Linked DNA regions of Rhinolophus ferrumequinum. The protein of the gene in region 1 interacts with the protein of each later gene in a pairwise test. Links are inferred from orthologs where the notes say so. Each region holds a gene or a part of one and is shown on either strand. Other genes may lie near its edges.

Region 1 (16,366 bases):
GCCGTTGTACTGCAATGATGGACTGCGCTAAAACAAAGTTAAAGGAGACGGTCACTCTCAGTTCTATGAAAGTGTGACAGAAGCCACAGACAATATGCAAAGAATGAGCATGGCCGTGCTTCACTAAAACTGTATTTGGCCTACAGGCTGTACGTACCAAGTTACGTGTCATGTCCTAGTTTTTGCATTTGCTCTTGCCTCTTCCTGGAATGTTCTTGCCTCAAACTTTTGCACAGATGGCTCCAAGTACTAGATAATTCAGTAAAAAGATGAAACGTACATTTGGAGAACCAGCTAGGAAAGAGCCCTAAAAATGAGAAAATATTTTGGAAGAAATTTAATTTTAGATATTTTCCCCTAAAGTATTCAAGTAGTTGTAATGGGGGGTTGGCAGGTGGGAGGATCAGAACTTTGTTGACATTTTTTGTACTTATTTTAAGCCTTGGTTTTTTTTTTTTTTTTTTTTTTCTATTTTGAATTACCTGGGGGCGGGGACGGCGTGGGAAGGAGGGAGGACATCATGATCCTGTCCTATTTAAGGGCTGTAAAGTCTCAATGTGGCCCTGCTGGCCCCATATTTAGTAACCAGGGCCTCAGGTCAAGGGTTGCCTTCTCAGGCAAGGTTTCTTCCACCAGTGACTTGATGGTATCCATCCACCACTTATCACATTCCACTCTTGTATGTTCTCACAGCACTTAATCACCACCTGAAATTAGTTTGCTTATTTATGTGCCTCCTTGTTGACTGTCTCCCTTTTGCATGTAGGCCTCAGAAGCCCAGGAATTCTGACTGTCTTGTTTGTTTACTTCTATATCCTTTACCTAGTACAGTGTCTGGCACATGGAAAGCATGTAGGGAAATACTTGTTGACTGACTGACTCACTGAATGAATGCTTAACTGAAGGATATAAGGACTCAGAGCTAAAAGTGCTTCAAGAATGAGATTGGATCTTAAGTGAAATTCTCTGTTTACCCCACACATAGCCTGAAAAGTGACTCAGAACCCAGCTTGGATAACTGGATCAGTTTTAGCAAATGGAGTTAAATCAATTTAAACAAAAGCAAATTTGTCAACAGAAGAATTTGGACCAACTCAGATTTGGTCAAACAATTTTGCCAGTATGTCATGGGAAGATTTTCCAGCTATTTATCATTTATCAATTTGGTCTGTTTTGCTAAAATGTTTATTTTTTTTTCTTTCTACTTTTTAGATTTTCATTAACATTTGGCTTATTCTCTAGGGAAACATAATTTAAACATCCAACAATCAAGAATTTATCGAAATAAATCTGACTTCCTTGACTTCTGTGCATGAACATAGAAACACAGTTAATACGCAGCACATTTGTTCAGTGTATAGTGCACATCTGATTTGTGTCAGGCAATGTGCTGGACACTGGAAATACATAATGAGCACATCCTTGCCCTCAGACTTCTGGGAGAAATAGACACAAAGCAGACTCATTTAAACAAACAAACAGAAAAGCTGAGTTTTGATAGGCACCATGAAGGAAATAAATAAGGAACTGAGATGGGCAATGCCCACTTTTGATAGGGTAGTACGGAGGGTTTTTTGAAGAAATAACATGTAGGAAATGATAAGAAGCTACTTCATGAAGGGTAGGGAAAAGGGTATTCCAAGGTGAAGATACCATATGCAACGTTGGTGAGGTAGGAAAGAGCTTGGCTTGTTTCAAGAACTGGAAAAAAAGTAGCCTGACGGGATCACAGTGAATGAAGAAGATGAGGCACGATGATGAGCTGTTTCTCAGGGCTTCATGGGTCATGTTGATAAGTTTGGATTTTTTTTTTTTAACTTTTTTATTGGAGAGTATTGGGGAACAGTGTGTATTTTCCCAAGACCCATCAGCGCAAGTCAAGTCATTGTCCTTCAATCTAATTGTGGAGGGCGTAGCTCAGCACCAATTCTAGTCGCTGTTTTTCAATCTTTAGTTGCAGAGGGCGCAGCCCACCATTCCATGAGGGAATTGAACCGGCAACCTTCTTGTTGAGAGCTCGCATTCTAACCAACTGAGCCATCTGGCTGCCCCTGGATTTTATTTATATTTTTTAATTTTTATTTTATTTTTTTTAGATTTTTATTGGGGAAGGAGAGCAGGATTTTATTGGGGAACAGTGTGTACTGTTCCAAGTGTGTACCAAATCAAGTTGTTGTCCTTTCAGTGTTAGTTGTGGAGGGCGCAGCTCAGCTCCAGGTCCAGTTGCCATTGCTAGTTGCTAGTTGCAGGGGGCGCAACCCACCATCCCTTGCGAGACTCAAGGAGTTGAACTGGCAACTTTGTGGTTGAGAGCCCACTGGCCCATGTGGGAATCGAACTGGCAGCCTTCGGAGTTAGGAGCACAGAGCTCCAACCGCCTGAGCCACTGGGCCGGCCCCCCTGGATTTTATTTTAAGTGCAGGGGTTTCACAAAGGAGAGTGACACCGTCTTATTTATGTCTAAGGAAGATTGCTCTGACTTCTGTGTAGAGAATGGACTGATGTGGGCAAGTCTAACAGTAAGGAAACTTGACAGAGACTGTTGCAGTAATCCACATGGGAGATGGGTTTGGACTGATGGTGGCCATGGAGACAGGGAGAAGAGGAGTGATTGGAGTTAAATTGGCGGTAGAATTGACAGTTGTTGGTGATTTGATGCAGGAACTGAGAGTACATAGGTGAATCCGTCAGTGTCCAGTTAGGAAACAGAAACCATTCTAGGTGTTTTAAACAGAGGGAATTTAACCTAAGGAAATTAGGTTATCTGTTAGAATGGTTTTGACTACTAATAGTTACAAAAGTGTTGGAAAAGTTGGAGAAACAGAAAGGGGAAGGTGTGGTAATCTCAGGTGGGCCTCTGCAGGAAGCCAGGACCACTCCTACGGCTGGAGGAAAAAAAATAAGCGGTGGTGATGCTATCAGAGCCCAGATGTGTCTGGCATATGACACTGTGTGAAGCTGCTGATGCTATTGCATCTGGGCCACTAACCCAGGTCACTGATGCTGGTGCTGGAACTGCTGAGGCTACTGGAGCTCTCGGCTGCTGTTCCTGCCACAGACACTGCCAGAAGCTTTGTGTTTTGTTTTTTTTTTAAAGGAGGGTTCTGTCCCTCATTTCATCCAGTTTCCCACCAGTGCTTCCCACTGGCAGCGTCAAACTGGGCCAGCTGGCGACGGAGTCTGGAAAAGGCAAGTCATCGGATTCCAGCCCCCTTCCCCAGAGCAGAGCAGAGAACGGCGGGAATGGTACTTAGTGCCAATAACCCAATGAATCCCATAGTGTTTAAAAGTATATATTTCTTTCTTTCTACAGCAGCAATATGTGCCCACTAAAGAAAAATTTAAAAATATGTATAAACAGAACATTAAAAACTGCCATATTCCTACTTACCCAGAAACAATCATTAATAACATCCTGGGCTCGCACTCTCTCTCTTTCTCTCCCACTCCCACTCTTTCTCTCTCTCTCTCTCTCTCAAAAAGGGATCCTTACTCTACTTTCGGTTTTGTAACCTACTGTACTAAATTTCTGCAATAAAACATTTGCTGGACATTTATTTTGTTCCAGCTAGCTGCCAGTGTTGAATATTTATGTTCTACTCAACATTTTCCTATCATAAACATAAAAAAGGAGTTATTGCTTGAAAACAAATTTGCAATTCAAGAAAACAGTTTATAAAGAATCAATGGTAACTTCCAGTTTTGACTATTATGAGATTATTTGCTTAGGTAGAAAGATAAAGTTATTTTAAACATAAGGTAAAATGTCAGGGCTTTCCCTACCCTGTTTATTTCCTTTGTTGAGAAGAAAACACTCTTTGTAGAATTTCAGAGCTGGAAATGCAGTCCGGAGGTGGAGAGGAGCTGTAGCTACAGACTGCACTGCAACCGTTCTGCCCTGTCGGTCTCCATGGAGTCAGACTTCTGATAAGAAAGGTGGTCCTCTGATATGTGCAGAAGCGGTGATACCACGACAAGGTGATACCATCACAAGGTGTGATACCAAGACAAGGTGTCTTTATTATGGCCACAAGGCAACTGTTTCTCTGATGTTATGTTAGGATGGTTTTGACTGCTAGTAGCTGAAAGCTATGACTGAAATTGGCTTTATAAATGAAGAAATGTATTATCTCACATGACCGGAAGTCCAGAGATAGGACAGCATCCTGCATTAGTGGGATAAGCTGCTTAGTGATGTCACCAAGGTCCCAAGTCCTTTCAACACTCTGTCCCACCTTTCTTGGTGTTGGCTTTATCCTGAGTCTGGCTCCCTTCATGGTGACTAGATGGCTGCCGGGGCCACAGAACTGCCTGTTTCCTTTCTACATGTTCGGCAGGAAATAATATAAATTCAATATAAATTCTTTTTTCTTTTTAGTTCAAGCAGACCAGTGGTTCACAGTACTGCTGTATTAAAATCAGCAGGAGTGCTTTAAAAATTATTTATTTATTGCTATCATTTCATTTTTGTTTGTTTATCTGCTATTTTATTTTTTGACTGCTGAGACCTAGGCTTTGTCTCTAGAAATAGTTATCAGTCTGGAGTGGGGCTTAGCTGGAGGTAGTTTTGAGGAGCTCCCAAGCGATTCTAATGTACAGCCAGGGCAGAGAACCACTGGATTAGGCTGCTTTAGGTCACCTGGCCATCCCTACCTAGAGGAACAGTTACCAGTCTAATACCATGATCTGATTGGCTGAGAAAAGTGGAGCTCAAAGTGTGTTCCTCTTCCCCTACCAGCAGGAGCAGCTCCTGAGAATCTGTTAGAGACTGGCAAATTATCTGGCTCCACCCAGACCTACTGATTTAGAAACTCTGGGGGTGGGGTTAGCAATCCGTGTTTTAACAAGCTTGCCAGGTGATTCTGATAGACACTGAAGTTTGAGACCCACTGCCTTAGACTAACTTAGGCCAAGCTACTTCTCTGGAGCCAGGGAGGAGACACATATGTGGACAAAAGCAGAAGTGTGTTGGGACAGTGAACCCAAGGCACCGGAGCCTTTAGCACTCCCTCCTCCCAAAACCAGGCCAGAGAGGGGAGGAGAGGGATCAGGACCTGAACACTGGAGACCCCAGGCTGTATGGAGAGGACCTCCCAATGGAGGTCCTCTGACACTACAATGGGCTGTTAGGAAGGAAGAAGGCATGTTCTGTTGGTAACCTGGGAAATCTCTACAAGTTTCTACAGGAGCTAAAGGGCTGAAAAGACTGACTTCGGACATGCTTTCCTGAAAACATTGTAAACTAATTTCAACCACTGTACAATTTCACCAGGCTCCTGGGAAAGGAAAAGACTATGAGGTAAAAACAAAGGAAATCTGAATACAATAAGGATTTTAGTTTATAATGTATCAATATTGGTTCATAAATTTATGACAAGTACCAGGCTAATGTCAGATATCAATAGGGGAAACTGGGTGTAGGGAATATGGGAACTCTACATAAATCTTATCAACTGTAAATCTAAAACTACTCTAAAATAAAACGGTTATTTTAAATAAGATACATTGAGATGTGAAATTCTAAGGAAACACCTTTGTAAAAGGTGTTATAAAATTAAGCATCAAAGTTTCCTTAAAATACTCCATGTTGATAGAAACAACACTGCTGTATTTTTTATGATTGAAACCATGTTTTTTTGCTACGTTTTAAGTCAGAGCAAATGCTTTTTAGACATTTTCAGTTTAAACAAGAGTTGAATTGAAAAATATTTATGAATACTTCTGATATCTCACACTTCCCAGAATCTGTACGTGGCCAGACTTATCAAAGAGCTAACGAGAGAGACTTAAACTTGTCCATATTCTTAGAAATAATTAAGAACCAATGTAGAAAGTCACTTTCTTTGCCATCCCCTTAGACCTGGAAAGAAGGAGATGCCTGGACACCACAGGGAATGGGACATAATCAAATGCCTCTTTCTCTAAACCCAATTCCTAGCAGTGAGCTCAAGCATAAACTCCCTTCAAGCTCTGTCCTTTTGTTTCACCAGCTCCATTTAAATTAAACGCACTTCTTGTGTCCTGAGGGGTGAGCCATGCAACCCAGCAGGCTGAGGTATAGCTCATTACCACAACTACTCTCAATAGACTACTTTCCATAGACAGTACATCACTGGAATATGCAATTCCTAGAAACACTGGGCCATCACTGGATTGGAGCAAGGAACCAGTCCTAATTTGTAGTTTGGAAGATTTCTATTAATATAGTCAGCTAAATAATTTATGGAAAGCTTTGCTTCTCTCCGTTTTCCACCAACTATGAGTAAGGAAACTGTTAACTACAATTGTCATTGCAAGTGAGAGTGTTATAATTAAGAGTTATAACAACAACAGCAAAAAAGAGTACTTACGGGCAAAAACATTGTCAGGCTAAGCAAGTGGCTCAAAATGATTTCCCCCCTGATCTTGCCACATTGGAATCTCTCAGATTCTGTCCATCATTGTTCTACTCTCTCACTTTGTGAACTTGGACAAGTTCCTTAGCTTCTCTATGCCTCATTTTTGTCATCTTCACATTGGGGAATAATAATAGTACCTATTTCTTGGTGGTGTTATAAGAATTAATCGAAGTAATGTTTGTAACACTTTCAGCACACTGCCTGGAATATGGTGTTACAAAAGTGTTTGATAAATTAATAAATAAGCTAGTCCTTGCCCATGTTAGAGTCATTCAATGTAATGATAAATCTCTTGAGGTATAGCATGGCAAAAAAACAAAAAGGAATATTCAGGGAAGGAGCCTCAGGCATGGCAGGACATTGAAGGGGCAGGAGAAATGTAGACAGTTTTCATGAGAAATAAACAGTGTGAGGGAACCCTCCCATGTTATTGGTGGGACTGTAAAATGGTGCAGGCTTCTGGAAAACAGGCAGTTCCTTAAAAAAGTTAAACATAGAATTACCACATTACCAAGCAATCCCATTCCTAGGTATATATACTCAAAAGAATTGAAAGCATCTTAAATAACCAAGAGGTGGGAACCACCCAAATGTCCATTAGTTTATGAATGGATAAACAAATGTGGTCTATCCATACAAGAATATTATTCATCCATACAAAGGAACAAAGTACTGATACATGTACAACCTGGATGAACCTGGAAAACATTTTACTAAGTGAAAGAAGCCAGACACAAAAGGTCGCACATCCTCTGATTCTACATATAGGGAATATCCAGAATAGGTAAATCCATAGTGGCTGAAAGCAGATTGGTGGTTCTCAGGGCTGGGGAATTGGGGAATAACTGCTAAAAGCGTACACGGTTTTCTTTTCGAGTGGTAACCATGTTTTGGAATTACAGAGTGGCAGTGGTTGCACAACAGTGTGAATGTACTAAATGCCACTGAATTGTTCAGTATAAAAGGGTTAATTTTATGTTTTGTTAATGTTATCTCGCTAAAAAAGCATAGATACCGAAATAGGATGAGAGTGAGTGCCCTCTGTGTTCCAGCAGAGAAGACAGAGTGTTCCGGGCTTCTTCTTCCACTCACCAGAGCCTTTATTTGAGAAAGTTACCTAACGTCGTGCCCCTCTGGGCCCTGGTTTTCTCATCTGGAAGAAAATGAAGTTGGACTTGGTGACTTCTAGGACCCCGTTTGGTTCAAATTCCAAGATAAAGAAATTTAACATCCTCCTTTTCTCCCTGTCTCCTCCACATGCTTGAAAACGACTGCATGTGTCCTGCAGATGTACACTGGGAAGACAAGGTTGTTGTAATTCAATTACAGGAAAATGAATTTGTTTTCGTTATTAATATGAAAAGTATCTTAATATTATTACAATGACACAAATTAATGGACAAACAACTGAAACAAATGCACTTTAACAATTAGCTTGGGGTTTGCCACTCTGATGTTCAGGCTCAGAGCCCGTGCGTGGCTCCAGCCTGTCTGCACCCCTCCGTGTAATCACACACTGTGCTTTTTGCCAGTCACGGTATCTCATGCTCCTCAGCCAAGTGCAGTGCTGGCAGCTCCAGGTGGATTGGGAGGCCCTTGATTGATTGATCGGTGCCCTTGCCAAGCAGGGATGGCAGCAAGAGATTGAATATCCTTCTAAACTGCCTGCGCTTTGCAACCAAAATATATAATCTAGAACAGTTTACGGCTATCAGTCCCTAGAATTTGCTTGTAGACTATTACTCTGGTTACAACTAGACTTGTTAGAACTTTACAATTATTGAAATATTATTTGAAGAGTAAGCCAAATTTACCCTGTCCTGGGATTTCAAGCCTTGGGTCAACATACAAGAATTCATTCAGGGAAGTGGGTATGTAATTGTCTGTATTTTACTCATCACTGCATGACACTGCCAGAGCTGAGCAGGGCTACTGAGGATGGGACATTGTGGACATCACTCATTTGTAGGGTCACCAGGAGTCAGAGCTGACTCAATGGCACAAAACACACACACCTCCTCTACCTGCTACTGCAGATTTTCCGGTCCTGTGTAAATTCCCTTCTAATTATTCCTAGGAGTGTCAGGTGTATCTGCAAAGAACCTTCAGCTAGAAAAATTTCAGCCAGCTACCAAGGTTTATCTGTCATTTCCCCCCTTTTATAATTCTGGCTTTCTGTAGGAATATTGAATTCTGAGGTCAACAACAGTCCCTAAAGCTGCAAAAACCAAAAGCCCCTGCTTACCTGGGCACACATTGTTAGGCACCTAGAAGCTGCTAGGTGCTGGAGGTGCAAGGATGTGAGCTCTTGGCATCATGGAGCTGCTGTGGGAATTTAGACAGACCCTTGAGGCAAACCTTTACCCTAGTTGTGTACCTCTGGCTGAAAGGTCATACCAACGGTGCCAACTAATTACCATCTTGGCAGAGAACCTCCTCGAAATATAGCTAGAAGTTTCACCAGAGTTTCCCACTGACTGCTCCTGTTGAACGTTCCTCTATCGCGTGCTTCTGTCTGCTTCTTTCCATCATGTAGCAGCAGTGCCCCTTTGCTATTCTACTTTTTGTTCTTGGTTGGACTGCATTGTATTCTTCCTTTCATATTTCTCCCCTTAGATGCAGAGAGGAGAGGACTGTTGGAAGGAGAATAAAAGTGAAAAAGCTGTATGGGATTGTGTACAAAATAAACGATACCTGTAAAAACTGTATATTCTTTTGATCAACTTAAATGAAACACCTGAGTGCAAGCTAATGTAAAATTAAACAATACGGAAATGGCTTTACATGCGATTCATGAATCTTTTCTCCCCCCCCCGATTTTGATCTCTGGTGCTCATTATGAAAGGGAATGAAAACATCCATAAAGCAGTCAACTTACCTTCGGATAGCTAAAAAATCATCTAGGCAATGTCTGTCCCTCCCATGTAATAGCAGCTCCTTGTGGGACAAGTGAGATAAGAGACCTAGAATATAGTCTGTCTTTTGCGGGACATACCTATACTGGCTGTTACATGAGCACGTGATTAAATTTGAAAGCAGGATTTCAGAACATTCATATTTTAGTAAACTTGAAAGATATGTAGATGAAAACAGCAGAGCAAAATCCAGTATTTTCAGGGTTCAAATATGATCTAGCATTTCTTCATTGTTCACATCCCCCTTCATTGAGCACAGACGGCCTTGAACATAGTAGGGGTTAGAGAAATGTTTGTTAATTTTAGTTAAAACTGTATTCCTCCCAGTCTAGTCTGTCAGTGGCTTGAATCTCCTGACCTGGGTCAAACAGCAGAGGAAAGGAGAAGGAAAGGCACCAGGTAAAGCTAGAACGAGATCATTGTTTAATATATTTTATTTGTTCCTGGGTTATGTTGTTCAAAAACTTGTGAAATGACCAGCCCGGAATGTGGCAGCAAATTGTGCTGTTGATTCCATTTACATTTTCAGAATTGGGATTCAAGTTTTCAAGTTTGTTCTGGGATTTTATGCAAAACATATGCAAATCGTAGCATTCTAAAAACCCCGTCAGTTCTCCAGCCCCGCCCCTAGTCACAAACAACCGCGTCTGGCGCGGAGCCCGTCGGGCTCCTCCGCGGAGTGGTAGACCTCGCGGGGGTGACCGGCCGGGGGGAAGGGCTGTCCCGGAGGCGGTCCCAGGGCGGAGCCTGGGCGGGGCCCGTGACGTGCTGAGTTGGCCGGCTGCCGGGCTGGACCTCAGCCTTTCCCCGCCTGGGGCCGCCGCGGCACCATTGGTGGCTCCGCGTCTCCAAAAGGGACCCTCTGACTCTTCGCTGGGCCAGTACAGTGCTGGGTCGTGGAGCTTCGCACAACTCCCGCTGGTCGCTGACCGGGATCCCTCCTCCCCAGAGTTGCGAGCAACTTTACCCTCTTCCTGGCGCTGCAGTGGCTCGCGGACCTTGGCCACCGCAGGTAGCTGAACCCGGACGACGCTCCCCGCGCCTCGGCTGCGCGCGCGCGTAGGTCGCTCTCTCTCTGGGTGCACGCTGGGGGTCCCCGAGCTGGGCTCTGCGGGCGAGATGCCCCTGGGACACATCATGAGGCTGGATCTGGAGAAAATTGCCCTGGAATACATCGTGCCCTGTCTGCACGAGGTCGGCTTCTGTTACCTGGACAACTTCTTGGGCGAGGTGGTGGGCGACTGCGTCCTGGAGCGCGTCAAGCAGCTGCACAGCAACGGAGTGCTGCGGGACGGCCAGCTGGCGGGGCCGCGCGCTGGCGTTTCCAAGCGGCACCTGCGGGGCGACCAGATCACGTGGATCGGGGGCAACGAGGAGGGTTGCGAGGCCATCAGCTTCCTCCTGTCTCTTATCGACAGGCTGGTCCTGTACTGCGGGAGCCGTCTGGGCAAATACTACGTCAAGGAGAGGTCCAAGGTAGGACGCGTGCGGGCGCCCCGCCGCTACTGCAGACGGGGGGGACCTTGGGACCGGGGGCATTCGGAGTCCGTTGTCTGTCGCCTTCGCAGGGCTACAAGCCAACTTTAGTTTTTAACCAAGAAGCAAGAAAGAAGTCAGTTTGTCCTCCCCACCCCCCGTAAAAATCCATGCTGAGGGACTCAGGTGTATAATTATAGTGGCCTTCTGTTAACTTTGAAATAAGGCTCTGGTGGGTGGTACAAGTCGGAAAAGCTATGGCTTTTTGGTCTGATTTTAGGAATTGGGGTTCTCAAAGGTCCAAACGAGGGACAGGTTATTAGAAACGTTGTGTTTGATCTGAGACACACGTGAACTCATCTTAAATGTCTGCTTTAAAGTCACCTCATGCCCTTTACTGATTTCAGAGGGGCTTCCTACCAAAGCACTCAAAGAAGCTGGAGACAGTTGTGATTTTGCAGTGTGGCATTTGGTTTGTGGAGTTTGGCAAGTGTGGGAAGAGTTTGCCCTGTGAAAGGGTAAAGCTCCTCTTCATTTTTGAGTGCTGCCCTTGGCTTGTTGAACCCGGGACACTTCCATCATCTACTTGATTGTGAAAATTCTCTCCTGGTGCCGAGCCTACACCACCAACTTCCCTTTCTTAATGCAGTTGATGGGGAATCCACTTAAAACAACCAGTTAAGCAATCCAAAGAGTAATCAATTACCTCTGGAAAGAAACCGTATTTTTGTTCACATAGACACATTTTGACTTGCTGGGCGTAAGTTAGCTTGGAAACATTTACAGGTAGATTGGCAGAAATATGGCAAAGTGTAGGACCATGATATTGGTGCACGTAGATTTCTTTGGGGTAGTCTAGATCCTCACTTTCTTTTACAGATGATCCAGCCAGTTTTCCAGTGGCAGTTCTGAGAATGATTTGCATTTCTTTTACTGTGGACTGGTCAAGGGGTATTCAGAACTGTAGAAAACTTGAACACAGTGAGGCAAAACGTACTAGTGTGAGAAGGAGGGTGAACTTTCTTCTGTGTACCATATATGTAACATTTCTGAAGTTAAGATTGATCCTGTAGTACAACATACCATTGTTGTCTCATTTGTCCCATAAGCTGAGAGGAGCACTCTTAATATAGGGCAAGGGGTTAAGACTGGAAATGTGTAGAAATGAAGGGGTTGGAGTGGGCAAATGGAATAAAGGCAAAATGGATTGTTGTACATCTTTCAAGCTAGGAGGACATGAATAGAATATCTGAAAGCATCATTATTAAATGGACACAAAAAGTAAGTCTTAGAAGAGCACGCTTTCTAACTTTTACTTTGATGTGGGGAAAATTCAGCGTTAGCTGGACTCAGTCGAAGATGGACATTAAAGTGTTTCTTTTCTCTTCCTCCATCATTTTGGTGATGGATTAGAATGCTGTTTGTCTTGATTGGTCTCGTTTTTTTTTTGCATCTTGCCTGTCTCTGGGGCGGGGTGGGGGAGGGGAATGGCTCGCCTCAGTATTGCAGATGTACTGTGGTAGCTTCAACCTGAAAAAGCAGATGGCTTCTTAACAGTTTTTTAAACTTTCTTTTAAACTTAGGTGTTAGGAATTTCCTCCACCAGCATTCTGGGAACAGAATTTGTTCTGAGGAAGATCAGAATTAATTGGTAGAAAGAGGTCACTAACATATTTGAACGTATTTATTTAGCTTTGACTATGAACAGTAGTAAGGTTTTAGGCTAGAATTTAACTCCACAAATTGAATGAAAAGCACTGTGTATGTCTGGATAAGGAAAAAAGATCTATAGATATTTTTCAATTATGGATTATCTTCTAGGTAGAACAAATAACTTTTCAGCTAATCCTTTCAGTTAACAGAAGGTGACTGTGAATGGAAAACAGAAAATTCATCTTTTGTCCACTGAAGAGACATCTGTCCATACCAAGATTTCTAGCTCTCCTTTGGTTCTTTTGGCACAAAACTCTTCATTCCTGCTGTTTGGAAAAATCACCTCTAGATTGGGATATTCCTTGGCCAATTAGAACCAAATGCAAACCAGGCTTGAGCAAACAATTATTATAGTAAAAAACTTAAAAAAGTTTGATTTGCTCGTATCCAGAAGTCTCTTTAGTAATGCCTTGTGACCTTGGATCTCTTGTTTGAAGTTTATTATGAAAGCATTGCCGACACACATTCCATTTCTACATGATTTATGTTAGTTTCACCTTAATTTAACCTTCTTATTTACTTCTCTTCCTTCGGCTGAGTGCTTTATTCTGTTCTGCTTCCCAGAATAGTGATATAGACCCAGTGTCCTGCTGCATCCCTCAAGTGGATTTTCAGCAAAAGCTGAATTTTTAAAAGGCAAAATATGTATGTTGATTTTAAAAAATCTATTTGTAACATTTTATTTTGAAAAATTTCAAACATATGTAAATGTAGAGAGGCTAGTATAATGATTATTTCAACAATTGCCTATACAGTTATTTATTTTAGACCAACTGTTTTAAAGGTACCTTAACTTTCTTGGGGTTATGCTTATTAATGTATTGATCCTCATTCAGTAGTTTTCTCCTGGATTTTAAAAGGCCATTGAATAATGTAATAAAACCCTTTATCAATGAAGCAATAGCAAAGGCATTGGGAATAAAATACAAATATATACTAGAATTGAAATTGAAACTGTGGAAGAGTATGGAAAGAAATAATAAAGGTTTCCCCCTTCTTGCCCCAAAACTTATTGCTGGTCAGAATTTATCTGCCTTCACTGTTGGAGAAAAGTCCTAGGGTGCTGAAGACTCTCTGGGAAGTGGCTTCTTATAATGTAGTACAGCAGTATGGCGCCCCCTAACTTCAAGCATGATCACTGCTTTCAGACTATCAAAAGATTTCTTATCTGTTACTCTCTTTTGGAGAATTTAGACCATCTCCAAGATAAATATTGGTTATAATTTGCTCCTTTTGCTTTGGCTGCCTAGATCTTGAAAATGGCTGTTTTCCAGAGAACGCGTAATTTATAGAACCAGAAGTCCTTCTGCTTGAAGCATCTTACTGATAGGCTCACTAGTTAGTATCTCTAATAATAATAACTACCTTTTAATGAGCAGTTTGCTCTGTCTGGCACTGTGCTAATGAGCACTTTACAAATACGACCTGTCTGACTTAGTCTTCAGAACTACAATCTTTAGCAAACTGAGTGATGAAATGGTTTGCCCAAAGTCACAAAGTCAGTGGTAAGAGATAGTTTATCATAAAGTTTAGGGGCTTAGGTTGGGGGTTACTAACCTGTGGTCTCAGGTAAGTTGCTCAATTTTCACCGAGTGTTAAAATGAGGGATAATAATACCATAAAGCTTTTCAGGGGAAAGAGCATGAAATAAAATGATGTACTTAAAATTCTTAGCGGAATTCTGAGCTTTCATCTATGTTACAAGACTGTAAAAAGTTTGGGATTCTAACCCAGTTCTGACCGACTCCAGAGTTTGTGTTCTTGACTATGATGCTCTTCCTTTTCATCCTTTCATTTTTCAGCAAATGCTCCTCAGTGTGGGGTACTGTGCAGGGGTTGGGAATACAAAGGTGAACAGGCATAATCCCTGCCTCATGGGGCTGACATTCACTTTTGAATTGTAGGATCGTCTAGTTCACACTTGATTAATTCTCAAGCCTAAAAAAGAAAAAAGACAAAACCCAGACAATGAAGTGGGTCAATTAAGTACATTTGAAGAAGAAAATGGCGTGCTGTGCTAATGTTTTCCTACTGTTATTGGCAGGAAAAGTGTTTATTAAAAAGGTTGGTTGTTAGGATCCCTGACTGGAGTAGTTCTGGAAGATGGGGTTATGGGGCTTGTATTGTGAACAGACAGATCAGTCTTCCCTTTAAAACAATGCAGAGACATGATGAAACAGCAATAAGTTATGAATAAAAGAAAATATGTTGCAAAGTGGTGGGCTTGTTCCTTTGCTGTTTAGCAATAACAGTTTTGGTGCAGCCTTCTCATGTGATGTTAGAACTATCCGTTACACAGTGGGGTATTTCACGGTTGCAAACCACTTTAAGCAAAAAGGAGATCATAGTTTTTGAAAATCAGGATCTCTCTTAGGATCCAGGTGCAGGGAACGCAGTCATGGTTCACAGAAGACAGGAGCTGTGAACTAGGAACCAGAAAGTCCTTAACATCCAGGACAGCTGGTGTGTTAGTTTTTTCCCTCTGGCGCTTTATGGCCTCCATCTTTGCTTCTCTGCTGGTGCCCTTAATTTCTTCCCCTCTCTACTTTCCATCCAGTTTTTGCTGCTTTTCCGTGCACATGGCTCAAAGTGGCTGCCCCACAGCCTCAGTTTGAGATAAATAGGCACTTGACCAACATTCTAGAATCCCTGTTTTCATTCCCTAGGAGAAAGTATGATGGTCTTGCCTTGCCTCAGGGGACCCATCCGCCTTGGTTGCAGGTGGTAGTGGAGCAAGTAGAATCATGTGTCGCAAATACGGTTGCCAGAGCCCATGAGAAGTGCAGTACTTAGAGCATGGGGTTTGGGGACTAGACATTGTCAGCAATTAAAATCTTAAAAATCTATCTGTCACTGAGGTATTTTAGGGGGAGGAGGCACTGGAACATCTCTCTGTAAGGATGTGAGGGATTCCTATAAAAGGTTTTGTGTTAAAAATAACTTAGCTCTTGGAGGAAGGAAATTAATCCAAGGAAATAATATACAGAATACAGCCTCCGTGACAATGAAGCAAGTTTCTCCACTGGGTGGTTTTCATAGTGTTCCTTATCTATTTTGTTGAATGACACTTGGGAACAAAGAAAAGAAGATTGGTGTGTGTGTATGTGTGTGTGAGTATGTGTATGTGAGTGTGTAAACTTTATCATTTCTTTTGTTCAATTTTGGGCCACTGGCCACTCCACTACAACTTTATCTTTTTGCAGTGAAGTGGGAAATCAGGGAGGTATTAATTTAATTTATTCATTGACAAATCATTAAATGTTGTGACTGGGGGAAAGGAGGTGGAATGTGATTATAAAACCACCTCAAGAAGCTGAAAGTTGAGTGGTATGAAATAGTTGCCACCAACTTTGCTTTCTCTTTTTCTGGTTAAACAGTCTACTTTTCCATTGATTAGTCATTTGTTTCTCTTCTTTGGGCTTTCTCCAATTTCTCTATTTATTTAAAATTAAGTGACCAAAATAAGTGACCAAACTACATAGGACTTTAATGATGCAAGTTTTTAGAGCTAAGAGGTATCAGAAATCACATCTATCCAATCCCTTAATCATTCAGCAGTTTTTATGTTTGGAGAGATGAGGTTTTGCGCAGGCCCTTGAGAAAGGATTGGGGTGAGTCTTGGGCCTAAGCACAGGTGCTTTAATAGAGAGGGGCTAGCCTAGCTGGGGTTACCCCATAAGTCAGGTAGACTGGGAGACAGGGTTGGTAGGTTAATTCAGCTGTATCAGCATTTTATTTGGGAATTTCAAATAGAATTCTAACTTAAAACACCCTTCGGTGGAATTATGCAGCCTACCTGTGCATTCGACTTTTGGGTGTCATGAATTATTTCCCTTTCTGGCCTCTCTCAGCCCAGTGCACATT
Region 2 (15,884 bases), on another chromosome or scaffold:
ATTCTATCTGTAGTAAAGGCACACTATTTTAAAACTGTTTATACAAATGATAACACATATAAATTACGAGTGAAACAAAGGCACAGTTCATGTTTGTCAACAGCTCATAGCACGATCACATTTGGAGGAAAGAAATATTGTTGTATAAATGTGCTGGGTGTTGTGGTAGCTTGCAGCGACACATTTATAAAGGAAAAAACTGAATGATTTCAACAGTCTCCAGCTCATCATCTGGTTTGTATGTCAACTGATGACTCACAGAGTGACAGAACTACATTAAATCCCCATTCTACTCAGCAATTAGCAAATGAATTGCTGCTCCAAAAGATTTGAGAATATCAGTCTTCCTCCTTTGCTTAAAATAGGAGTCCCCTTCTTCCTATCTCTAGCCAAACAACTTATCCTCTCATTACTTGCTTGTGATGCTGTTGGTGAAAGACCTAATTATTTTTTTCTTGGTAAACAATATTTTAAAAAGATGATGACTATGTGCAATGAAGTTTTGGAAATCTGATGAGATTCCTACCACCAGGTAGGAAGGAACAATGTCATGCCTTGCATAGTGACTTGAACATAGCAGAGTGGCAACAAGTATTTGTGAAATAAATGACTCTCCTTTTTAAGAAATCAGAAGACAAAAGGAGATAATCAGCAACAGCATCCTACCATCCACATAACTCTACTTAGAGGCTCGGGATCTCTGGAGCTTTTTCCCTGATATACCTTATGAAAGCATTTACCACATCTCTGAGACAGGTTAAGAGTGAACTGGACAAGGCTATGGAAAGAAACAAAAGTAGAGAAAAAGGTTGTCAGAGGCTGAAAATAATCCCTGATTATAGAAACCATCGCACCTTCCAACCAATGCCAGCATTCTTGTAATAGGGGAAGTTATCACAAATCCAACGGTAAATCTCACTGAGGGTCATCTTCTTGGCTGGAGAGGAATTGATGGCATAGGTGATGAGGGTGGCATAGCTGTATCTTGGTTTGCCATCCTGGTGGACTGCTGCCTCATCTTTGCTCAGGGTGGCATTAGGATCTGTGGGTGAGCCTGGGGGACACTTGCGGCTGCCCCCTGGCGGCCCAGCCTGGGAAGCACTCCCCAGCTTTTCAATGGTAGCTCGGAGGGTCAGCTGGGGGAGCCAGTCTATGGAGGTGAGGCTACTCTCTAGGTCAGAAGCCATAGTTCTTCTGGGTTCTGCAGAGAAGAGGACAAAGGGGAGAAGAAAACAGAATAGATGAGAGTTACCTCTGGTTACTGGCAGCAAATAATACCAAAATCCTAGTTCTTAATAGGTAGTAGAGTTTCTTCCAGCTATAATTCCCATAGAAGATTCCACTCATGGGACAGCCTTCAACTAGGTATTCCCAGAACCCGGAAACGCATATACCGTGTTTCCCCAAAAATAAGACCTAGCCAGACCATAAGATCTAGTGCGTCTTTTGGAGCAAAAATTAAATAACACCGGATATTATATTATATTATATAAGACCAGGTATTATATTGTATTATATTATATTGTATTATACTATACCTGCTATTATATTATATTATATTATATTATATTATATTATATTATATTATATTATACCTGGTCTTATATTAAAATAAGACTGGGTCTTATATTAATTTTTGCTCCAAAAGACGCATTAGAGCTGATGGTCCTGCTAGGTCTTATTTTCGGGAAAACATGGTATCACCAATCATCTACCAGATGATAGACTGATACTTATTCTACATCTTAATGTGGAATATAGCCAAGAGGCCTCCACCTTCATGCAGGACTAAAAGAGAGATCAAACCACCCACCAAACTCAGCTATTCTCTCTGTTCTCCTTACTTAAAGCTCTACAACATAACATTTTAAAACTAAAAATAATTTTTAAAAAACACTTAGCAGACAAAATCAGTCAGTCTATTCTCCAATTATGTGACACATGATAATTTACATACATCTACAGAAAAACAAGTGAACATGTTAAAAAGAAGTCTAAGTAAACAGAAATACACACTAATGAAACACACTTTTAAAGATATTTGGCTCTTTTAAAGATATTTGGCACTTTTAAAGATATTCCATATTTGATATATTTGAGAACTTGCCCTTTTTGGCACACACGTGCATGTGAAGCATATTAGATATATCCCAATCATTGACAACCACCAAAGAACAGATGTGAGACAAACACATAAACAGTACCCCACAAACACAGAGATCACAATTAGCTATACAGTACACATTACCAACAGAGCACAAAGTCACACACAGAGGTAACAGATCTTGAGTACAGCTGCCCTCACACCTTGAAAGCTACCCTTTTGCAAGCTCCCGCCCACAGACACCTACACCAGGAAGAAGTCATCAACAAGGACCTCCCACCTCTGAGCCTGCTGGGCTTCACTGAGCCAGGGAGACACCCAGCTGAGTGCGCACCGGTAACAATCAGATAGCCTGGCTAAAAATAGCAACTCTGGGGCTAGGAGCTGGCTCCCCTTCTCCCGCCCTCCTCCTCTCTCCTTCCTTCCCAGCCATGCACGCACGCAAGCTCGCTGCACCTCCATGCAAACTCCTGGTGCTGCCAAACCGCCCACGCCTGATGTTTGCACGCCCTGCTTCCACCCACACAGCCTGGGCACTCTTACTGGCAGAGAGCTATAGCTGGAGTGAGGTCTCGGTGGGGGAAGGAGAAGAACGATGGGTGACATTTGTATTGCTGGGTCTAGAAAGACTGGCAGGAACCCCTTGGTAGCCATTTGGCACTCCCCTAGAGCTGATGCCAGCAACCCCCTAAGCATTTGCTGCCTAACAGGTTTGTGCCTGCACAGCCTCCAGATTCCAACTAGTCTTTCTTCCTCCTATCCCTGTGGACAGTCCCTCCACAGGGCATTTCTCTAGCATGCCTCAGAGTTCAGAATCCTGAACCTAAACATATCACCTATGTAATCTCTAAATCCACACCCAGATACTATTACTATGCACAAGCATATACATACAACTATACACAAATCCACACACTTTGCCTTTCAAAGCTCATCCTAGCTATGGCTGCCTACCCCTCTCCTGACTCCAACACATCTTTCAGGCTATCAGTCACTCTTCTAGTAAGTGACTTCTCCCCTTGACGCTTATCCCTTTCTCCTAAGGGTCAGCATTCATGCTCATTGCCCTCTCCCTCAAGGTCCCCACCCATGCAATCTTTGCAGGTACACACAAGTACCCTGCCCTGCTCCTCACCAGCAACACGCCCACTCAATAGGGCTGAAGGAAACACCTTTAGTGCCTCAGGGGCCTGGGCCATCAGAGACCCAACTGCAACCCAAGAACTGCTTAATAGAAGAAGGGGGAAAAAAAAATCCATGTTTATAAATAGCTTCAGGAAGGGGTTTCCCCTTTATCCTTATCTTCTTCTCTCCTCACCACCCTCCTTTTCATCCCACCACCATGGAAGCTTAGAAACTAATAGGGGCATTTAATCATTCCAGGAAACCTCAGACCTCCTAGCATTGTACTAAATCAAAACACCACAGCCTCTGGGGTAAAGCAGGCACTTTGGGCAGTAACCAGGTCCCATAGTTGGGTTACCCCAGTTGGACAATAACATGACAACAAGCAGGTTTTCAATGACCAGGGTTCTCCTGGGCCCTCCCCACAAGGGGAAGACTGTAAAGAAGTTTTACCCTATTTCCTATAATATCCTGCTAAAGATTCTCTAGGAAAGCTCAGCTTAAGAACACAGAAGCCGGGCCGACCGGGTGGCTCAGGCGGTTAGAGCTCCGTGCTCCTAACTCCTGAGGGCTGCCGGTTCGGTTCCCACATGGGCCAGTGGGCTCTCGACCACAGGGTTGCCAGTTCTATTCCTCCAGTCCTGCAGGGATGGTGGGCTCCGCCCCCTGCAACTGGGATTGAACACGGCACCTTGGGCTGGGCTGCCTCCCCATGGCTCCGAGTCCTGCAGGGGATGGTGGGCTGTGCCCCCTGTCCCCTGTAGCTGGCAACAGGCAACTGGACCTGGAGCTGAGCTGCGCCCTCCACAACTGGGACTGAGGGGACAACGGCTTGAGGCCGAAGGGCACCCTCCACAGCTAGAATTGAAAGGACAGCAACTTGACTTGAAGGGAGGTCCTGGAAGTACACACTGTTCCCCAATAAAGTCCTGTTCCCCTTCCCCAATAAAATCTTAAAAAAAAAAAAAAAAAAAAAAGAACACAGAAGCCTTTAGTGGATATTTCATTAGAAACTCACCCAACATTGGACAGGGGCGTGAGAGTGGATTTCAAGTAGTGAGAGGGCTTAGGGAACCCATTTGGCACATGCCAACTGTGACTTCCCGAAAGGGAAGCACTCTCAGCCTTTTGCTAGTTGTTCTGTCCTTCCCTATCCTTACCACAGCACCAGGTTAGGACACTGAGGTTAAATTTAACCTTTCTCCAGCACCCTCCCAGTCAGCCCTCCAGATACCGCCCCAGCACTCAAAATATATTCGTCTTACCAGCTACAAGAAGATTGCAGCAAAAGATCCTTCTGATCTTTCAGCACCATTCTTCTTTAACCCATCCCACTTCCTCACGCCCGTCACTTCCCCATTCTTCAAGGGTAGCCCAGTGCGAAGAACCTCAGAGATTGAGGTTCCTCCATTCTATTCCCAACCTTGACGCTGATACACTAAGTGTCCCTAGCCACCCCTTGCTCCCTGAAGTCTTGATGCCTCAGTTTCCCCCTTCAATAAAAGGGATGAAGTCATAAACACTGCCAAAGCTTCATCCCTGCAGGGAAGTGAATGAAGTGTAATGAGCTTGTGGCGGCCACACATTCCATGCTCCCCAAAATAATGGCATGAGGCTAATGTTCAGGCTATTATTAGAAAGGCAAATAAGAGATACTTCCATTTCTCAGTCTAACCAACCTAGTTACCCAGACCTCTCCAGGTGGGCCTCGTGCCACTGGGCTTGGGCAGAACCTGAGTCAGGCCACATTCTTCTCTGCGTGCTGGAAGACTGAAAGGAAATACCCATAGAAACTGGGAAAGGCAGCCAAAGGACAGGCTCCATCACATCCACAGGACATCTAATGAAGACTGTAGTACTGGGAGAAAGGCAGAGAAAAACAAAAAAACATTCTGTTGGAGTGTAAAACTGATCCTGGATGAGATGTGTTAGAGCCAAAATTATAGCCAGTTTTCTTCCCATTTTATCTGAAGGGCCAGTAATTGTTCTCTATATGGTACCAAGGTCAGGTATTAAGGAGTGATAACTTCCTGCTTTGTATATAATGCCAAAATCAATAGAGCAGGGCGGCCCGGTGGTTCAGGCTGTTGGAGCTCCATGCTCCTAACTCCGAAGGCTGCTGGTTCGATTCCCACATGGGCCAGTGGGCTCTCAACCACAAGGTTGCCAGTTCAACTCCTTGAGTCCCACAAAGGATGGTGGGCTCCGTCCCCTGCAACTAAGATGGAACACGGCACCTTGAGCTGAGCTGCCGCTGAGTTCCCGGATGGCTCAGTTGGTTGGAGTGCATCCTCTCAACCACAAGGCTGCCAGAAGGTTGACGGTTCGACTCCCGCAAGGGATGGTGGGCTGCGCCCCGTGCAACTAGCAACAGCAACTGGACCTGGAGCTGAGCTGCGCCCTCCACAACTAAGACTGAAAGGACCACAACTTGAAGCTGAACGGCACCCTCCACAACTAAGATTGAAAGGACAATGACTTGGAAAAAAAGTCCTGGAAGTACACACTGTTCCCCTTCCCCAATAAAATCTTAAAACAAAAAAAAAATCAATAGAGCAGTGGCGAAGTTAACCACATTTCAGGCTGCCTCAGTTTCAGTCCTCACTCTACTACCTACTGGCTGTGCAACCTCAGGCAAGTTACTTAACCTCTGTGTGTTATAGTTTCTTCATCTACAAAATAGAGATGATAACTGTACCTACATAGGGTTGTTGTTTAGATTACCTTCAGTTAATATTTTTAAAGCACTTAGAAAGTGTAGCTATGATTATTTTTGAATGGGGATAAAAGAAAATATTTGAAATTAAAAATTAGAAAACTCACCGATCATATAGGTTAGACTGGAAGCAGAAAGCCTGCAATGGTTTACCTTGCAATACTGACTTTGCAATAGTTTTCGGGATGTCAGAATCTCAAGTCTTTCTTTTTGGGGATCATATCACCCCATTGCTGACCAATGCCAGGACCAAGTAAACTCCAAAGTAAACTCCAAAGATGAAGGAACGGGGGAATATCACCTAAGTATCTCTAAATCACAGTTCATTCAGCCCCATAGCCATGTGCTTCTAAATGATTCCACAAGGGCAAGGAGAATTAGGGAACCTCAGAGCAAGCAGGGAAGCTGTGTGGTGGTGGTACACCTGCAGGTGTGATGCTCTTCACTCTGAGCCATTCAACAAGTTGCATTCCAGCAGCTGGTGAAGTACTTTGTAAGAAACAGACCGCTGTTACACCAAAGCCAGCTCTTCAAAAAGTTGGGGAGGGAGTTCTAGGGTTAAGAGCCAAGGATCCTCATGCTTTTGAGATCAAAGATATCAGAAAGAAGCTCTCTTATTAGTCCTAGAAGAGGGGGTCCCAACCTGAGACTGGGCTGTCCTGCTGCTTGGGATGACTTTTACAGAGCCATTCATGAGGGCTCCCACTGGCCAGGGGAGGCCACCTTTCCTCCCAGCTGGGTATCCTAACCAGCACCCTCCCCAGGTCCTTGCACAGGGGCACCTGCTTTTAGAGTCCTGCCAGAAACACGTAACTCTAGGTAATTGGAGGCTTAGTCTGAAAAGCACACATGAACCTGTCTCGAGCTACATACCTACTCGAAACACAGATACAGAGCCACATTCATCTAAATTAAGAAACATCCATACAAACCTGGGTTCCCGCCCTGTCTCCTAAACTCCTATACCACTACTAACAGGTAGCTTCCAGGACCAAGTGGATATACTTAGGGACTTAAGTAGTCCATCCATGGCCCAGACAGGAGAGGAGAAAACATAAAATCCCAAGCAAGATGAAGCCTCTTACTTGGCTTTGCTGTGGGATGTAATACCCCTCACAGAAGATATTTCCTAATGGCAGAGCAGGGAGGCAGGCACCCAGTTAGTGATGCCAGGTTGAAAGGCAGAGCTCTACCAAACACATAGCCCAGACTCAGAGAGAAGGATTTCCTGGCACTTTTCCCCTGCATTTTCTGAAGATTCTGGACTCCTATCTTATGAAGGAAAACTTAAATACAAAGTTCCAGAGACCCAGAACTGAACAAGAAACAGGAAGGGAGATGATTATTAGGTGCTTTTATGAAAGGAAACTCCTCAGAGGTCAAATCTCCCTGGTGGCCACCTTATTTAGATGGAAGACTGGAAGGAGACTGAGCAGAACACTCCTCACTCCTCTCTTCCTATGCAGGATCTGATATTTTATTTTACTTTATTTTATTTTATTTTATGTTATTTTATTTTATTTTAAGGAACTATCAGCAAAGGACAGGAGGCGGGTAGGGAACTGGGGCAGTGGTACTGGGTCAGCATTAAGGAAGAACTTCAACCCAGGAGTTGGCATTCCCCTATGCCCTTACTTCTTGTCTCGGGACATGTGGGACTCCCATATCCCTTTGGATTCTATTGGTAGAGACATGCTTCCAGCCAGACATGGGAATATCACGAAAGGAGGCCTCTCGGTATCTGAGCTATGGGGAGTGGGGACAGACTGCTTTTTTTGTCAAGAGAGCAGCAATCACAGTGGGTTGGAGAGAGCAGCTCTGGTGGAGCCGACCTAGGGTTGCAGATAAGAAAATATAATACCAATGGAAGCCCTAAACAAGGCCAGGCCATGAAATGCCATCATGACTTTAGTGAGGGCCCACTCTCGGAGTGAGAGGGCCCAAGGATGGAGGGTGGTATGGGAGTCTGGTTGGGATATGTCAATCATTGCTATACAGTATGAATGGAGTTCTGAAAACGCAGGCATTCTCTGATATCCCTTTGCTGTGAGCATGGCAACATACACTTCCCTAGGGACCTCAGATGAATCCCATCCTATTAGTCCCAAACACTAAAAAACCTCAGAGCCTCTTCAGCAAGATGTGGGTTCCAATCCAGCAGCTTCCTCAGAATACATTTCCCAGAGATTCTCTGAGTTATCACTCTACTTTCCCCAGTAATGAACCCAAGAGCCACCATCTCATTCCCCTACACCCACTAGTACCTAAAGATGACAGAGAGAAGATGAGAGAATGCACTAACCTGTCTCCAAGGATCCCCCAGCAAACGGAGGGAACCCCCTGGTACTGCAGTTAGGGGTTGGAGGGATTCCCCTCTTCAAAGGCAGATGAAGAGTCTCATCCTCAGTGGCTCTTGCTGTACTTGGCTGAGCCTCCCAAGCTGGGGAGGGGAACTGGGTCCCCTGAGGATGAGGAGCAGAGGGAGGTGGAGCGGGGGGAGGCGGAGAAGGAGGTCCTACCTGGGGAAGGTGGCACACCCCCCACACTCCGCCTGATACCCTGGGGAGGAGGGGAGGAGCCTCTCCCAACCAGGAGCTGTCTCCTCCCCCTTGGGGGAGTCCCCCTCCCCCCCAAAGTGGATCTTTCGGGAGCGGAGAGCTCTTTCTGCCCGACGGAGATCTAAGCGCAGGGGTTCTGCCCTGTTCCACTGTCTAGGTACAAGGAAGTTGAGGGGGGAGTTCTTCCCCTCTCCCGAAAAGCTGAAAGCCGATTCCTCTTCTTTCCCTGGAGTGTCCTCTGCTTCTGAATGTAAGACTCCTCTCCCGTGATTACTGGAGAGGATGGAGAGTGCCTACTCCATAGGCATACCCCCTTTCTCTTTGCCTCAAAAGTCCCGAAGTGTTGAGAGTGTGTTTGGAGGGGTGGAGGCACGCCGGGGCGGTCTCACTCTGCTTCCTTTAGTAAGGATCGCCCCCTTCTACTTCTAGAGATCTATTCCCGGGCCAGTGTGGGGATTTTTCTTGTCTCCAGGAAGGAGAGACTCGTCCCCTATAAGGGTCTCTTCTTTCCCTCGCCCGGATGGTAAGGGTCTTCTCTTCCACAGGGCGAGGCGGCTCCCGTCCCCGCTCCTGCCTCCGCTCCTGGGGTGCCCCAGAGGGTGGGGTTTTCGTACTCCCCGCTCTCCCTGGGCCGGCCTGGGCAACCGGGTCCGAGAGGCCGCGGCTCCGGACTCCCGTCAGTGGCTACTGTGGCGGCAGCGCCTCCTCTAGTCCGGTCCCGTCCAGTCCGCTCCCTTCGCGCGTGGGGCTCCCCGCACTGCCACCTCTCGGGCTCCGGCCAGTCCGGGCTCCCGAGGAGCCAGAAGGCGGACGGACAGTGTCAGGGCTCGGCTCGGGCTCGGCTCGGCTCCGCTGCAGGCCCCGGCTCCTCCCCGGCCTCCGCGCCGCGCTCCGCGCCCCTCCCCCTCCCCCGCCCGCCCGGCCGCCGCCGCCGCAGCCTCCCTGCGCGGGTTAAGGAGGAGCGGGAGGCGCCGAGCGGCGGGCTGCGCCGCCCGGGGGCGCTGCGCCAGGAAAGCCGCGCCGAGGTACTCTGGCTCCCGGGAAACGCGCGGCGCCGCTCGCTGCTCTCCAGCCGCTACCTGTCCACTTCCCTCCATGCAGCTTGCCATCCACCCAAGACGACCCACTGCTCTGTATCCGGAGATTGTCTCGTTCACACTGTACACGAACTATCAATTCCAAGTTAACACTAATCCTGGTTCGCTCACCTCTTTTTTCATTCTGTTGTAGTCTGTGTACAGATAAATATCTCCTTTTTTCACAGAAATATTTTTGGTGGGCTTCTCTTTCCCCTGAGATAGTTTATAAAGGGTTATGAGGGTTGGGGTGAAGTTACCCTCATATCATCCTTGAATTCAATCAATACTGTTGAATAAATGAATGTATAAAGAGACAAGTGAGTGTGTAACGGAGATAACTCTGAACTAAACATAAAATCTAGCTTTGTAAAGTTGTGCAAGGCCCTTGTTAGAATCTTGGTCAGCAAAGAGAAGAAAGACCTTGATACTCGCCGTGTCTACTAACGGGTGTTGCAAAGAAAATAGTTTATGTGAAAATGCTTTTTAACTGTATAGGATACAAAATAAGACTCGTTCATTTCGCTTGATGACCCTATAACATATCTTATTCTGGTCACAGAGTGTAGAATGTTCTCATTCTCTGCCCCTTACAGAATAGTCCCCACCCAAGACAGAAAATGCCACCAGGGAGCGGACTCCACCTATACTTTTCCTCTTGGAGTCACATTATTCCTCTGCAAACTTTTATATTGCATCCTCTGGCCTATTCAACTTTTCTCACTCTCCTGTATTTTCTATCACATAAAATAATATGACAGCAAAAATACTATGCGTTAAATATTTGAATTGCTCAAAAAAAGTCTGCATATTCGAGATTACAGCTTGACTACATTTCACATTTAGATAAAGTATTTTGTCTTCTGGCTAAATATGATATTATATTTTACTTAAATTATACATACATAAAATTACATTATATTTACAATATGCCAGGCATTGAGCTAAGCACTCTGCATGTATTACTACATTTAATTCTTCTGGAAGTCCAATAAGGCACTATTATACCTATTTCATAAATGAGAAAATTATAACTTAGAGATATTGACTATGTCTAAATAACATGATTAGTAAGTAGCAAAGTCAGGACTTAAACTAACAAATCCAAACGACCCTAAAGACCCAGCTCTTCACTTCTGTGCCATTGTCCTTAGCTGTCAGAATCAAAAGTCATCCTTAGGGGGGTTATCACTGTGTGAGGGATATAAATGATAAATGTCTATTACATTGTATTGTACATTTGAAACTAATAAAAAAAAAAAAGGGGGATAAAGTCATCCTTAAACTGAAAAGAAGTGAATCCCAGTCAAGCGTTTTCTTTCTCCCTACCCTTCCAATATCAGGTTTTAAAGCTGTATTTTCCCCCTTCTTTGAAACATCAACATATTCCTCCCACACGCACAGATAATTCGGCATCAAATGTTTCTTGCTAGTATACGTTTAGATGTTTTGCTTCTTTTCTCAACGCTTTTTGACATTTTCTATGTATGTATATGGAATTTGGGGGGCAAGAGTAGAGAGGTGGAAGTACTAAAAAAAATGGGAAAGCTAGGGAAGGATTAGAATCTCTTTTTCTGGAAATTTAGAAAAATAAAAACCTCAAAAACTTATTTGATATATACAAGATATTTGCTGCAGCATTATTTGCAACTGTAAAAATTTAGAAACAAATGTCCATAATAGGGTAACTGTTAAATAAACTATGGTATATCTATATAGTAGAATACTACTTGGCTTTTAAAAGAGTAGTAATTGTATTTAACTTTGGAAAGTAGAATTAGTGAGGAGTTCGCTTTTCTTTTTCTATCTTCTTCACCGTTTAGATATTTTGCGATAGGCACGTGTTATTTTAAAGAACCAATTATTTTTCATTTATCTGAATATATTCCAGTGAGAAAATAATGTTTTAAAAGTTTGTATAATACGATCACACAGTTGCTCTTTAAAATATGTATATGTATATGTATGTATTTGTGTATATACATATATAGATGGATAGACACCAAAGATGTGAGCCTCAAGATTATTTTAATTTATACCTCATTTTCTACTATATCTGTAATTAGTGTTTGTATGGTTTTTGCTCATGTAATTTTTTAAATTAAAAAAAAAAACTATAAGGTTGGTTTGGTTTTGGTTTTGCCCTAAGACGGGGAACCACTAGCATTCATTCTCCCTTTACTTTCTATTAAGGAGGGTGAAATGAAGCAGAACAAAAATATAGTCACTGAAACATGCAAGGAATCAAAATGTAAGGATCCACCCTTCTCTATAACAGAACATATTATATAATTCTACATGAGTGTCAGCCGACCTTGAGCAAAATGCTTCTTCATAATATTGGTGAATATGCCACAATATACATTTTGTTAGCATTTTTTAAAGACCAGTGTATTATATGAAACATAGTATAGTGCATAAGATTCATGTATCCAAATCCCAGTTTTGGCATTCAATAACTGAGAATTTAAGTCATTTAACTGCTTTGTTACTCAACATCTCATTAGTAAAATGAGGATAATAATAGTACCTACTTCATAGTGTTGTGGAGGGTTTGTGTGACTTCATGCATGTGATGCATTTAGATAAGTGCACCAGAAAAGGGGAACCTAGAGATTAAAAGAGGCTTAAAACACACATAAAGCAAATGTAATATATACAGATCAAGAGACATATCCATCAAATGCAATATGTAGACAGTTGGGGGGGGGAATCCTGACTTGAACAAAGCAGCTGGAACAAATATGAAGCAATTGGTGAAATTTCAGTCCTGATTTTTGTGATATCACAGAATATTGTTATATTTTAGATGTGCTAATGGAATTGTGTGATTATTTAAGAATCTTTATATTTTAAAGTTGCGTTCAGGCGTAGTCAGTCATGAAATGCCAGAAATTTATTTCAAATTAATCAAGTGATGGGGGAGAAAGGCATAGATGATGAAAGCTTGGCCAAGTGTTGCTTATTTCAACATTTTACAAAATATAATACTATTCTCTCTACTTTTGTATGTCTGAAGTTTTACAAAATAAAGTTTTTTAAAATACTGTTCAAAAAGTGCGGGAACATAGCAAGAACAATGTAAATGTTTATTATTATATGATTTGTATTTATATCATCTAATGTTTATTTACACCTTTCAGATCACACCGTATTTTCATTTACACTATGTGTTTTGGTACTCACACTAAACCTAGGAGGTAAGTATTATTATCCCCATTTTACAAATGAGAACACAGAGCCAGAGCCAACACTGCCAAGGCCACCTCCACTCTTTCAGCTATAGGGACCGGTGGTAAAAGGATAAAAGATACCTCCAGCCACTACACGCAAGGTCCTCGCTTCCTTGACTGTAGTCAGATTCACTGGGGAGAGAATAAACAGTATACAAAACGATTCACTTAGATTTATCAGACAAAATTTGAGCTTACATTTGCACATCAGAGAAATTCTAGCTAGCTACTTTAGAAAGCAATCTCGGGGAAAAAAGTAGAACACAGCAGAAGAAATTAAATGATAAAGGAAAAGTTCTCTGTGGTTTGTATTTCCTTTACTTGTTTATTATTTTGTTTTATTAATTTAACTTTATATCCTCTATCTAACCTGTTTATTCTTCATAACAAATAAGACTAGAACTAAGGCGAGGGAACAGAGATGAGAAACTGTGGGAAGCGAGATTGAGAGGCAGGAGGACGTCACACCCTGGTTGTTTTGAGGCCCAGCCACTTCACCGTTCCGTTCCACCTTAAGAAGCTTTAGCCGCTCCCCTAGTAGAGCCAGCACTCAGCTCCTCCCACTCCCGTGTCAGCTTCTACTCGGGAACGTGGGGAAGGGAGAGACGCACTGAATGGAAAGACTGTCGCCAGGGGCTGTAGGGTCTCTCCCTTTCCTTACTCTACGGAGTCGGGGAGGAGCGTGTAAAGCCCGTGGCAATGGGGTTTGGTTCTTTTCCGGAGGATTCAGGATAGGGATGTGTTCCACTGAATTGGGGGAGGGGAAGGGTGTGAGGGGTGGGGCTCATCTTGGGGTGGGGTCGAAGAGGGACAGAACTGGGGCATTTAAGATGTATAGTAAGCTATGATCGCTAGTCGAAAAATCTAAGTTCACGAGGTGCGGACGCACCTCTTCAAACCATTTCCAAAAGAGGGGCAAGTTTTTCATTCTCCGCCCCAATTCCCCTTCTTCATTTTAATTGATTGGGTTTAAGGTAGGCTGGGCCCAAGGTTGCTTGTTGATTGGCTACCTCAGTAATCTATCAGAATGACGCAAGAGTGGGGAGTGGCTATTTGGGGAGGAAGTGAAGATTATTTTGGTACCTCCTACCCCAACTACTGATTGGTTGAGCTTTGCAGCGATGTAAAACAAGGGAGGGACGTTATCTAGGGTGGGACTTGGAAAAGCCAGCTGGACTCTTATTGTAGTGAGGACCAAATTGATTGAAACCCGGAAATGAGTTTAGAAGGAAACTGAAGGAAAAAGGAAAACCGGCGGCACCTTCGTTGCCCTCAAACAAGGTCATTTCCTGCATGGGATTGATAGTTTCCTGTTTACTCAAAGAAGTCTGCGTATACCCTGCTTTCTGGAATATACATGATAAATTCTTATGAGCCTTTGGTCCCAGACTTCTAGTTACTTGTTACCTAAAAGAATGAATGAGACGGAGGAGAGGGAAAGCACGGGGTTTAACCCTGCCTTTAGGAAAGGTTAGGGAAACTGAGGCCCTCTGATGGAAAGCTAAGGATGACGACCCTGGATCACAGGATCCAAGCAGGTGGGTTCCTAAAGAAACCTCGTAAAATAACTGGAGAGGGTGGGTGAGGTAAAGGAACTGTAAAAATTTGTCTGAAGGACGGGCATTAATCACATACAAAAACTTCCTTTGATAGAAAGTGTGTTAGGCAAGGCCAGAGGAAGGAGTTGCGGGAGACCAAAATTGGTCTATTAGAATTTATTTGGCGTGTTTGAACTGTGGGAAGTCAGGCTAGAAAAGACCATAACTTCCCCAAGCAAAGAGGGCTATGGAGTTTTATAGGAGGGGGTAAACCAGGCTGTTCCCTCTTCAATGTTTCAGGGGGTTTTTGTTGACAAAGGGTTTCAGGGCATGACCTAGCCCTCCAGCTCCACACCCTGGCCCCAGATTGCCGTCAGAACCACCCAGACCCGCTGATCACAGGCTTGTAGGATATAAAGCATAACAGGATCAAGACACGATGGCTTTTAAGATAAGGTTTCTGCTCCTGGCCTAAATATGGCTTAACAGTGTATTTTATTCATGGTATATCTGGTGCCTGGCAGTGTGGGGTACATAGTAGGTGATCTGAACCAAACCAGAATGAGAAGACTTTTATAAAATACACTGGACAAATTTTAAAGATGCCAGACCTTTAGAATATGTTTTTAAAGGTATCTGTGCCAATTTTATGATCCTGGAGAAATGTTTCACACTCACCACCTGGGTTAATCCAGCCAGAAATTGTGCTGTAGATATACCTGGGAAGCTGCCTACCTGTGAAAATGCTACCATTTTCTCTTTAAAATTTGAAAACCCAAGGCCTTTAAAATTTGAAAACGGATTTCCCCTCAACTTGCCTACCTAGAAAGATTGAAAAGACAGTTGGGATTAGATGAAAAGATGTCCTCTACAAGCAATGAATGGAAAATAGCGTGTTTAACCTTCAATCTGAGATTAAAAGGTAGGAAGGACGTACTATTTGAGTGTTGAGAAATACCATCTATACTATAAATTATGGAATCACTTTTTTCCCAGCATAGGTGTACACTTGTTTTCCAAATCTAGATTTTGTCTTATAGCTAGACTTCATTAATGCTTTAACATGGTATAAAAGTTGTGCTCTGAAACTGAGTGAACAGTGAAAGAACTTCCCATTAGCATAATAACTATCCCCACTACAGGACCCTGCAAGAGCGATGGGTCAAGATTCAGTAACAGATGTCTTGTGTTTACCCGAAGCGATCCCATCTTTTTATGATCTTCTAAGCCAGATCCTTTACAAGAGAATATATCATCCTTGCTCTTCAGTATCATTTTGACAATTGTTTAGAAATAAGGGGAGGAATATGAGGCAGCTATATTTGCAATAATGAAAGTACCATGGGAAAATTATTAGTAGGCTACAAATAATTCTGCATAATAAGGTATATGTTGCTTATGCCAAAGGGCAGAGGTGGGGAGAGACAGAGCTGTTGAGAAAATTTTTAAGGATTGTGTTCATGAGAGAGAAGTGCATTTTGTTCCTGTCAATGTAAAAAATGTCCAAACATGTAGAGAATTTTTATAAGTTTAT

Evidence for each region.
Region 2: the proteins of EGLN3 (region 1) and FOXJ2 interact in binary tests that used the Homo sapiens proteins (3 or more experiments, as listed by UniProt). The two-hybrid records come from large-scale screens. The link is inferred for Rhinolophus ferrumequinum from reciprocal best matches to the Homo sapiens genes EGLN3 and FOXJ2.

What each region holds. Positions count from the first base shown.
Region 1 is NC_046289.1:82,391,058-82,407,423, reverse strand, and holds the start of EGLN3 (prolyl hydroxylase EGLN3), read left to right. Parts: upstream 1-10,070; 5' UTR 10,071-10,432; coding exon 10,433-10,789; intron 10,790-16,366. UniProt on the Homo sapiens protein: Prolyl hydroxylase that mediates hydroxylation of proline residues in target proteins, such as PKM, TELO2, ATF4 and HIF1A. Target proteins are preferentially recognized via a LXXLAP motif.
Region 2 is NC_046293.1:24,678,940-24,694,823, forward strand, and holds the start of FOXJ2 (forkhead box protein J2), read right to left. Parts: upstream 8,380-15,884; 5' UTR 8,248-8,379; intron 5,088-8,247; 5' UTR 5,054-5,087; coding exon 5,014-5,053; exon of another isoform or gene 4,909-5,013; intron 1,202-4,908; coding exon 855-1,201; intron 1-854.